Ovis aries: one gene and its partners. The protein of the gene in region 3 purifies or fractionates together with the protein of the main gene of each other region. This does not show direct contact. Links are inferred from orthologs where the notes say so. Each region holds a gene or a part of one and is shown on either strand. Other genes may lie near its edges. The genes, in order: TGFBR1, TECR and CANX.

Region 1 (3,654 bases), on a different chromosome or scaffold from region 3:
AAGTTAAGACCAGCAATCATTTAAAAAAACAAGTTCTGTGTTAATAAAAAATAAAGGTAGACTACACAACATTTTGTAACTGTCCTGGGAAAGAAGCGTTCATAGTGCACAGAAAGGACCCCACATGGCAGTTTCCTGGGTCTGAAGAAATCCTGGGATGTTTTAGTTCACCTTGTTACATCGTCATAAAAGGAAGCAATATCCTTCTGTTCCCTCTCAGTGAGGTAGAACAACTGACCTCCCAAATTAAAACCCAGGAGCAGATCTGAAGAAGAAGTAGAGTTCAGGCAAAGCCACAGAATTTACATTTTGATGCCTTCTTGCTGACTGAGTTGTGACAATGTTTTCTTAATCCGCAAAGCTGTAAGCCTAGCTGCTCCATTGGCATACCAACATTCTCTCATAATTTTAGCCATTACTCTCAAGGCCTACAAGAAAAGAAAAGAAAGATCATTAATGCATGCACCATGTTTCAACGACCTGGATAATAATCTTTCAGTTCAGTTCAGTTGCTCAGTCGTGTCCGACTCTTTGCAACCCCATGAATCGCAGCACGCCAGGCCTCCCTGTCCATCACCATCTCCCGGAGTTCACTCAAACTCACATCCATCGAGTCGGTGATGCCATCCAGCCATCTCATCTACCTGTAAATTTTCTTTTTAAACGACATACAAGTATTTCTGTTTCAGCATTATTTGTAATAGCAAATGAGTAAAGATGACCTAAATTCCCATCAGCAGGATACTGGTGCCAGCAGCTGGAAAGCAGATGGACAAAGGAGGATTTACTTGGCAGCCTGAGAAACCTGAATCCTCAAAAGAGCTGTGCAAAGCAAAGAGAACCTGACTCACATGAAATGGCCCCCAAAACTGAGGAATTAACTTATATCCTGTATCCCTGGGGTGAAGTTCAGGGTAAAAATAGAATCAGCCAAAGAAGCTGGAAACCCAGATACCTGCCCTGCCCCAACTTCACACAGCTGGGTGACCATCCCACCCCATCCGAACAGAAGACAAGAGGTTTCAATCTGAGAGAGCAGAACAGATTCCCGTCTTGGGGAAATAAGGGCAAAATTCCACACTGACAACACACTAAATGCTAAGACAGTAAACTTTCTCCCCAGAACACGGCCAGTGACTTTACATGGTCCTCCAGGTAAGAGACCAGAAGAGTCTTCAGCCCAAGAAGAAAAGCCTAAAGAGAGACATCAGTGGTTCCCCAAGGAAGCAATCCAGTTACTTCACCCTTAGACTGCAGTGGAAGATAAGCTCCATTCACGTGCACAAAGCTTCCTATCAGCTTTCAGTGCTGCTTTTATACAGAGCATGAGCTTGATCAAACATTTCAGGAAAGTAATATGAAATGCAGAAACTGACACAGAAAACAACACCTTGGAAAAACCAAAAGGTGTATAGAAGACAATATCAACAATCCATCATTAATATCTTCAGAGATTACTGATACTGGACTTATCAATACTTTTTTGGGGTTTTGTTTGGTTTGGGGAAAGTTTTATGAAACCACAAGATAAACCTGAGTGATAATAATAAGACCAAAAGATATAGGCGGATTCCTTTCCCAGAAAGTAGAGAAAAGAAAACAAAGAGATGGGTAATAGGAAGAAAAACACAAGAAAATCAGAATGCCTGTTCAGGATGTCTACATTCATAACCAGAGTTGAAGAAAAAGAACGGAAAATGGAAGGGAATACTTGAGGAAAATTTCCTAGAAATGAACATTTGTTTTCAGGTAAAAATGACCAAGGGTTCAGGACATGCATAAAATCATCCAGCAAACTGAGTGCCATAATCCAGATGCCATCCTACATGCATCTGGTAGGATACACTAACAGACACAGCAGTGAACTAACAGACGACATTTCTGCTCTCATAAAGCTTACGTTATAGAGGGCTAGAGCATATAATAAATAAGCAGAATGCATGGACTGTCCGTGCTAAGTGCTGAGGAGAAACATCATTTAGGGAAGGAGATAAAATATGCCAGGGGGGGGGGAAAGTGCTATTTTAAATAGATTGACAGGTAACGTCTCACTGACAAGGTAACATCTGAGCAAAGAGCTGGAAGAGGGGGATAAATGAGCAAACCAAGAAATGTGAAGACATGGGATTCAGAAAGGCAGTCACCACAGAAGAGGCAAGAGAGATCACAGGTGAAAGGTGAGGGATATCCCAAGATGAAAGCTGGCCTAGAGCCAGACTGGCTTTTCAGACTGGAAAAGGTCAGAGGGCTCTGAAAAACACTTCCGTAGGCATCCTATCAGTTTCAAATTCTCAATGTGTTTCAGCTACTGAGGGGAGATTTGTAAAACCCAAGAAAAGTGAAAGATTAAGTTAGTGATACAAAACTAGCTAAATCGAGAGAAAATCTAAAATGACAGTGATGGCATTAATTCAACATGCTGCGACAGTAATTGCAACTTGCATGTATGTTTTTAATGTTAACTACTAACTTCATGCTTAATTAGCCATCTGTTTAATATTAATTTGCTCTAATTTGCTTATTGAATGAGTGCATGAATAATTCCAGTTTGTAGTGTCAAGATGAAATTTTTCAAAGACAAAATCTAGGCCAATTTCATTTGTTAAACATGCAGGTTCTGTGAGCACACAATATATTTTGTCTGGGCCTGCATACTGGATTTCATTGGAGGCAGCCAAGGAACTCTCTTGATCTCACAAGTATCTAATGAAGTCTGCTGCTGCTAAGTCGCTTCAGTTGTGTCCTACTTTTAAGATGTAAAATAAACTACTTAAGTGAACAGCTTTTTATTCTTCCTATACTACAAAACATCAACTCCAAAGGGAAATGCTTTGTTTTACCAATATTATAATAGTATCATAATAATGGTTGTTAACTCAGTTGTGTCTGACTCTTTCTGACTCCATGGAATGCAGCACGCCAAGCTTCCCTGTCCTTCACTATCTCCCAGAGTTTGCTCAAATTCATGTCCATTGAGTCAATGATGCCATCCAACCATCGCATCCTCTGTCACCTGCTTCTCCTGCCCTCAATCTTTCCCAGCATCAGGGTCTTTTCCAATGAGTCAGCTCTTCACATCAGGTGGCCAAAGTATTGGAGCTTCAGCACCAGCCCTTCCAATGAAAATTCAGGGTTGATTTCCTTTAGGGTTGACTTGGTTTGATCTCCTTGTTGTCCAAGGGACTCTTCAGCACCACAGTTCGGAACCATAAATTCTTAGGCACTCAGGCTTCTATGGTCCAACTCTCACATCCATACATGACTACTGGAAAAACCATAGTTTTGACTATACAGACCTGTGTTGGCAAAGTGATACCTCTGTTTTAAATATGTTGTCTAGGTTTGTTATAGCTTTTCTTCCAAAGAGCAAGCATCTTTATTAATTTCATGACTGCAGTCACCATTCAGTGATTTTTGAGCCCAAGAAAATAGTCTTTCACTGTTCCATTTTTTCCCCACCTATTTGCCATGAAGTGATGATCCTGGATGCATGATCTTAGTTTTCTGTATGTTGAGTTTTAAGCCAGCCTCTTCACTCTCCTCTTTCACCTTCAACAAGAGGCTCTTTAGTTCCTCTTCACTTTCTGTCATTAGGGTGGTATCATCTGCCTATCTGAGGTTATTGGTATTTCTCCCAGCAGTCTTGATTCCAGC
Region 2 (2,597 bases), about 8.2 Mb from region 3:
GGTGCCCACGGGCAGCTTCTGCAGGACATCCTCATCCTTCAGGGACTTGCCCTCTGAGGAGAGTTGGGCCAGGGCTCAGGGGCTGCTGGGCCTAAGCCCACGGCCACCCTGGAGCCCGGGGGCAGCCCAGCAGACGGCTGTACTCACTGGGGTCCAGGCGGAGGGACTGGCGGGCGGGGTACCACTGTGGGTCTGTAGGGAGAGTAGGGTGTCAAGGCACACGGCCAAGTGGGCTCCTATGGGCCCCGGTGTGGCTCCCAGACACGGAACGGAAGCGCAGCAAGAGGGGGATGTTGTCCTTCCGGAAGCCCTGCAAGGGCGTTCCTGCGGGTGGCCACACGGGGGCGGCGGCCCCAGGCCAGCCCCGAGAGGCTTGGGCCACACCAGGGGCATCTCTGCAGGCCCTTGAGGGAGAGGCAGGCAGGATGGGGTCCCACCTAGAGGCCCCTGCCCAGAGGGGTCACAGGGAGCCGTGTGTCTGGGCCCTGGACTTACGAGTCTTGGTGAAAAGGTTCTTGATCTCAGCAATGGTGGCTTGGGGCTCCACCTGGGGGAAGCACAGGCCGGAGACAAGTCAGTTGTGGCAGAGAGTTTGGAGGGCCAGGGGCCCAGGGTCTCTCCTGGGGAGGTGGGATGGACTGGGGTCCTAGACAACTGCTATGAGAGGGGGAGGGTTGGAGACCAGGCCCCCCAACTCATCCAGCCGACACCACAACCATGGGCCAGAAGGCCATTTTAACCAGGCAGCCAGGACGCCTCTGGACCAGCTGGGGGATGGTGTGAGCATGGAAGCCAAGCCTGCTTTGCCCCTCCTCTCCACCCCACCCACAGCTCCTCCCCGAGTCAAGGCCCTCAGTCTTTTCCAGACCTCCCTGGGATGGGACCACCCCACTCCCCTGGACTGGCCTCAGAAGGGGGCAGGTCTCAGGACCCCACCTCTCTCCCAGGCACCAGAGCCCTGCAGGGTCCACTGAAGCTGCACGGCCTGCTCATACACCATGAGGCCAGCTCCAGACCACACCCAGGGAACAGGACGCTCTGCCCCAAGGGGCCGAGTGGCAGGGGCAGGCGCAGGGACACACCCGTCCTGCACACCCTGAAGGGCAGGGGGTGGCTGTCAGGACACAGCTGGAGGGGCATATCCATCTCCCCAGGGGCCAAGACCCCAGAAAAGGAGGAGTCCCAGGCCCAGCACCCTCGGGCCCACAAAGCTGGCGCCACGGCCGGTCCTACCTTGTCCAGGAAGCACAGCTTCTCCCGGGTCTTGGCATCCAGAATCTCCACCTCGAAGAAGAGAACGGCTTTTTTAGGTTTCTTGGTCGCTTTGGGGGGCGCAGGCCGGGGGAGGCCATTGAGGCCAAAGCCAGGGCCGAGCCCCTGGCTGCTGTCCCGGGCCGCCAGGCTCACGCTCAGGTCCATGCCTCCCCGCTCTGCCCGCAGCGGCCAGAGTCCCCAGCTGCCGGCCGTCAGCCCCCACCACAGACCTCCCCACGCGAGGCGCTCTGGGTCGGGCCGGCGCGATCAAATTCTGCCGCGGTGCTGGAAGGAAGCCCGTGCCTGCCCTGGCACTGCCAGCTTCTGTGCAGATGTAACCTGAGTGGCCCAGCAGCCACGACCCAGCTAAATATAAAACTGCCCCACCGGAGTCCCCCAGGAGCCACACCACAGACCTCCCGGGGTGGGGGGCACCTGGGAGCAGCACCCCCAGGCCTGGGGGGTTCCGACTGTAAGGCTTTCCAGTGGACGTGGACCCCCAACAGTACGGCAGGGAGATGCCCAGGATGGGCACGGAGGCGGGTCCCAGCCCAGTGCAGAGCAAGGGCTAGTCCACCAGGAGGAGGGGGAGAGGTCAGCGGGCAGCCCAGGGCCCAGCTCAGCCCTCAGAGCTCCCTGGGCTTGGAGAAATCCCAGCTATTCTGAGAATCCGTGAGATAGATCATTCATTTCCCCTTCTGAGCTGCAAGGGACACTCTGGATTAGTTTCCTCGTGCGTTCATGTTCCCAGGGAAGGTGACAGATTCCGGGGTTCCCAGCGCGGAGAGCCTCATTCTAAGCGTGGAAAGGGTCTGGAAATGGAGAAGCTTCCACCAAGCACCCTCAACCAATCCTGAGACCTTGGCCCCCACCTCCATGGCCCCCTCTCCGCCTGCTTCTCATCAGGCCCACCCAGGCCTTGTTCAAGGCCACCACCAGGGCAGTCCTTCCACCACACCAGCCCAGCACAACATCTTTGTCCAGGCTCTGAGCCCCCAGAGCCCAGAGCAGACATCCCAGGCACCCCCTAGTCTCTGAGCCCCAGTCAGGGGAGCACGGGGGCAATGCTGGGAGGGGCAGGGCTCCGAGGGGAGTCTGACCCACCCGCTCTAAGCAGGCAGACAGAAGGCATGCCAGCCAGCAGTGAAAGGTGCTAACTTGGGGGAGCTGGAGTGAGGCCTAGCAGCCCCAGCCTGTCATGAAAGGTCTGAGGCCCCTGGGGCAGGGCTTGATTCGGATCTTATCAGACACCCAGGCAGGGCTGGGTCTGACCCCAAGTAGGCCCTTCCCACCTGGCAGGCCCTCATCGGAGGCAGCATGGAGAAAAGGAGAACGTGGAACCC
Region 3 (3,654 bases):
AGCAAAATACACTTCCCCAGTTGGAACTGGAGCTTTGTAGGTGACCTGTGTTAAACATAAAAATGAATTAAGAATTAAAATATTCTCAGTAGGATCTATTCTCTTGGTTTGCTTTCACACTTGCATGACTGGCCCTCAAATTCAACCCATATAATTTATCTTTGGGACAATATAACAAAGGTTGACAGGGAGAGCAATAAGTATTTTAGCAAATTTTGCTTTCCCTTTGGTAAGGATCCAAAATGTACCTTCATCTTTTGATCATCTCAAGAGGCAAAACAAACAGATTCAAAGATCATGTCAAACCTTTGGCGATGGCGGACTGCTGGCATCTGGCTTCGGTTTCGAGTCTTCTACCTCTTCAATGACGTCATCAAGGTCATCCTCAATGTCAATCACATCATCGTCATGTCCATCATGAGCTTGAACAAGAGCAGTTCCAAGGACCAGTAACATACACAGCAACCACTTCCCTTCCATGATCTAAGTATTTATTAAAAAAAAATACAGTTAATTGTATCACCTCCTTTCAAAAATTTTGAACCCTTATTTAAAATTAAGGCTTTCAAATCAGAGCTGAAAGGAACTTTACTGTATTTCATTTTATAGATAAAGAAAGTGAACTCAGAATAACAGGTTTTCCTAAAATCAGTTAGTTAAAAGATTCAATTTCAAGAAAAAATTCAAACTATAACTCAAACAATTGTCCCCATATAGAATATCATGTTGGCTACACAGACCTAGGGTGTTCAGATATAATTTCAAAATAACTTCTTGCATTTGTAAAGAGCTTTACAATAGACAAAGCCCCTTTTACAGAATAGTTTAAACGAGTTAAAACATTACAATGAAATAACAGAGGAGTTAACTTGCCTCACATTAAAGACTTAATTTAGATTAGATGCTGCTGTTTTTGTCCAAAGATCAAGAAGAATAGGTATGTTTTTTAATTAGTGTTTTAAGGGACTTCCAGGGAACCCTGTGCAAAGCAGGGGACTTGAGTTTGATCCATGGCTGGGGAACTAAGATCCTCCATGCAACAGAGCAACTAAGCCCAGAGCAAACAGGCCACAATTCGAGACTCCATGCTCAACAAGGTCCTGCACTAAAACCAGACCCCGCAGGATGCAAAGATCCCACCTGTCAGCAACTAAGACCCAATAAGCCAAGTAAATAAATAATACATCAGTTTTAAGATTCAACAAAAAAATATATTAAACCATGCTGCTGCTGCTAAGTCACTTCAGTCGTGTCCGACTCTGTGCAACCCCAAAGACGGCAGCCCACCAGGCTCTGCCGTCTCTGGGATTCTCCAGGCAAGAACACTGGAGTGGGGTGCCATTTTCTTCTCCAGTGGATGAAAGTGAAAAATGAAAGAGAAGTCGCTCAGTCATGTCCGACTCTGTGCCACCCCATGGACTGCAGCCCACCAGGCTCCTCCGTCCATGGGAGTTTCCAGGCAAGAGTACTGGAGTGGGGCGCCATTGCCTTCTCCGAAAAACAAAAAAATATATTAAACCATAGACCAACTATTTTTATCTCTTTTTTCTAAGCCTTCAAGTGTCTTACATATCATATCTGACTGTCATGGATGGTAGTCAATCCTCTCTCCAAAACCACAGATCTAAAGATACAAAAACTGAGCCACACGGATGCACAAAATGATTCGGCAGTAGGTTGTACAGAATTTTAATTCTGCAAGATGAAGAGTTCTCGAGACGGATGGAGGTGAAAGCTGTACAACAATATGAACATACTCAATGCCACTGAACTTGATGGTTAAGATGGTAAATCTTACAAGTATTTTCACTGCTATAAAAAAGATTTTATTAAAATAAAATAGCTTAATTTTTTGGTCACTGGTAAATCAACTTATTCTAATGCTGAATTTAACGCCTAATTCCTTATAAATGCTATAATCCTTTAAAGTGATTGATTATATAGAACTAGACTTTCATGTATCATTTGGCGGCATTTCCTTTATTTATAAAGCGTGGGTACTGTTTTCACAAAATGAAAGAAAGTAAGGCTCACTGGACTCCTAGGCAGCACAGAAAATAAAGAAATAAAAGATTTTTATAAAAATAAAAACTCACTCATCATCTTTCCTAGGACTGGTATTAGAGTTTAAAAACTCTCAATGTCAACATTCTGCTATGGCTTCTTATATACCAAGAAATGCCAGTAATTTCAATTTTTCACTGTTAAGGCTTCTATTCTCTACCACCGAAATCTACAATGGCGTAGCAATATCGCTTTGATTTACAACTACACTGGATTCTCTGAAACTAAACAGGCTGATTCAACCCTTTTATCTACATCAACTGTATACAACCTAAGAAGTCCTCACAGAAATAATGCTATAAATGGCAGTTGGGTTCCCAGGGATACTCTATAAATCAAATTAGCCCACAAAATAGTTAAGTCAAAAAGGCAAATGTGATAAGCCCAGTAGCAATTAAGTGAACCACAAAGCCAGTGAATTAATAAGGACTGTGCACTGATGTTAAAACACTGCTGCTCAAGGAAAAGCTAATCGGGGAGATGAACTAACTACTTAACTTTCAAAAATGGGATTCAGGTAGGGTTCAGTGAGGGAGAGTACAGCTGCAGAACAGGAAGACTGATTTTTTTCCCTGTATCTTTTAATTTACTGATATACTGCTGTTATGTTATGGGCTTGCAGATGGCTCAGTGGTAAAGAACTGGTCTGCCAATGAAGGAGACCCACATTTCGGGAAGATCCGCTGGAGAAGGAAATGGTAACCCACTCCAGTATTCTTGCCTGGGAAATCCTATGGAAGGACCTGGCAGGCTACAGTCCATGGGGTTGTAAAAGATTTGGTCACAAGTGAGCAACTGAGCGCACACACACATACAACATATACCGCTGTTACAGGCTTAACTGTGTCTCCTACCTCAAATTTGTATGTTGAAACTTGAACTCCCAACATAACTATATTTAGAGATAGGACCTTTAAGTAATTAAGGTTAAAAGCAGTCATAAGGTTGGGGCCCTAACTGGTGTCTATAGTAAGAGGAAGAGAACCAGGAATCCACATGCACAGAGGTTAAGTCCAACGAGGACACAAGATGGTGGCCCTCCGCAAGCTGAGGAGGAAGGCCACATCAGAAGCCAACTCTGCCAACGCCTCGATCACAGACTTCCAGACTGTAAGAAAACACTTTTCTGTTGTTTAAGCTGCCCGGCCTGTGGTGCTGTTGTGGCAGTCCAAGCAGACTAACACAATGCTCCTTGGGTTGAGTATAATGTCACAAGACAGCTCTTCCTAACTTGAGCGTGCCTCAGGGGGCTTTTTAAAACAGACTGCTGATTGAGTGTGTGCGTGCTGGGCCTTTTCCTTCCTATCAGGTTCCAGGGGATGCAAAGGTTGCTACCCTGAGAACCACTGACTAGGGTTTATGAATCATCAACTTGTGCTTTGTGTTCCAGTTTATAAAAGCACTTTCACAGTTACATTATTTTGCAAACCTCCCTTGAGGTATTACTAAGATGTAGTGAAATGAAAACAACCCAATCATTTACTCAATATCACAACCAATAAGTGAGAGTCAAAGACTTCAGATCTCCTATTTCTATTACACTAGACAAAACGTGGCTGCATCCCGAACACGTGTGAGAGGATAGAAAGG

What was found.
Region 1: the proteins of CANX (region 3) and TGFBR1 purify together in Homo sapiens (affinity purification with mass spectrometry; 3 studies listed by BioGRID and IntAct, with this or other methods). This does not show direct contact. The link is inferred for Ovis aries from reciprocal best matches to the Homo sapiens genes CANX and TGFBR1.
Region 2: the proteins of CANX (region 3) and TECR purify together in Homo sapiens (affinity purification with mass spectrometry; 3 studies listed by BioGRID and IntAct, with this or other methods). This does not show direct contact. The link is inferred for Ovis aries from reciprocal best matches to the Homo sapiens genes CANX and TECR.

The regions. Positions count from the first base shown.
Region 1 is NC_056055.1:48,711,170-48,714,823, forward strand, and holds part of TGFBR1 (TGF-beta receptor type-1), read right to left. Parts: intron 429-3,654; coding exon 303-428; 3' UTR 1-302. UniProt on the Homo sapiens protein: Transmembrane serine/threonine kinase forming with the TGF-beta type II serine/threonine kinase receptor, TGFBR2, the non-promiscuous receptor for the TGF-beta cytokines TGFB1, TGFB2 and TGFB3.
Region 2 is NC_056058.1:9,554,567-9,557,163, forward strand, and holds part of TECR (very-long-chain enoyl-CoA reductase), read right to left. Parts: intron 1,285-2,597; coding exon 1,234-1,284; intron 548-1,233; coding exon 496-547; intron 193-495; coding exon 148-192; intron 54-147; coding exon 1-53. UniProt on the Homo sapiens protein: Involved in both the production of very long-chain fatty acids for sphingolipid synthesis and the degradation of the sphingosine moiety in sphingolipids through the sphingosine 1-phosphate metabolic pathway.
Region 3 is NC_056058.1:1,394,310-1,397,963, forward strand, and holds part of CANX (calnexin), read right to left. Parts: intron 484-3,654; 5' UTR 481-483; coding exon 307-480; intron 46-306; coding exon 1-45. UniProt on the Homo sapiens protein: Calcium-binding protein that interacts with newly synthesized monoglucosylated glycoproteins in the endoplasmic reticulum. It may act in assisting protein assembly and/or in the retention within the ER of unassembled protein subunits.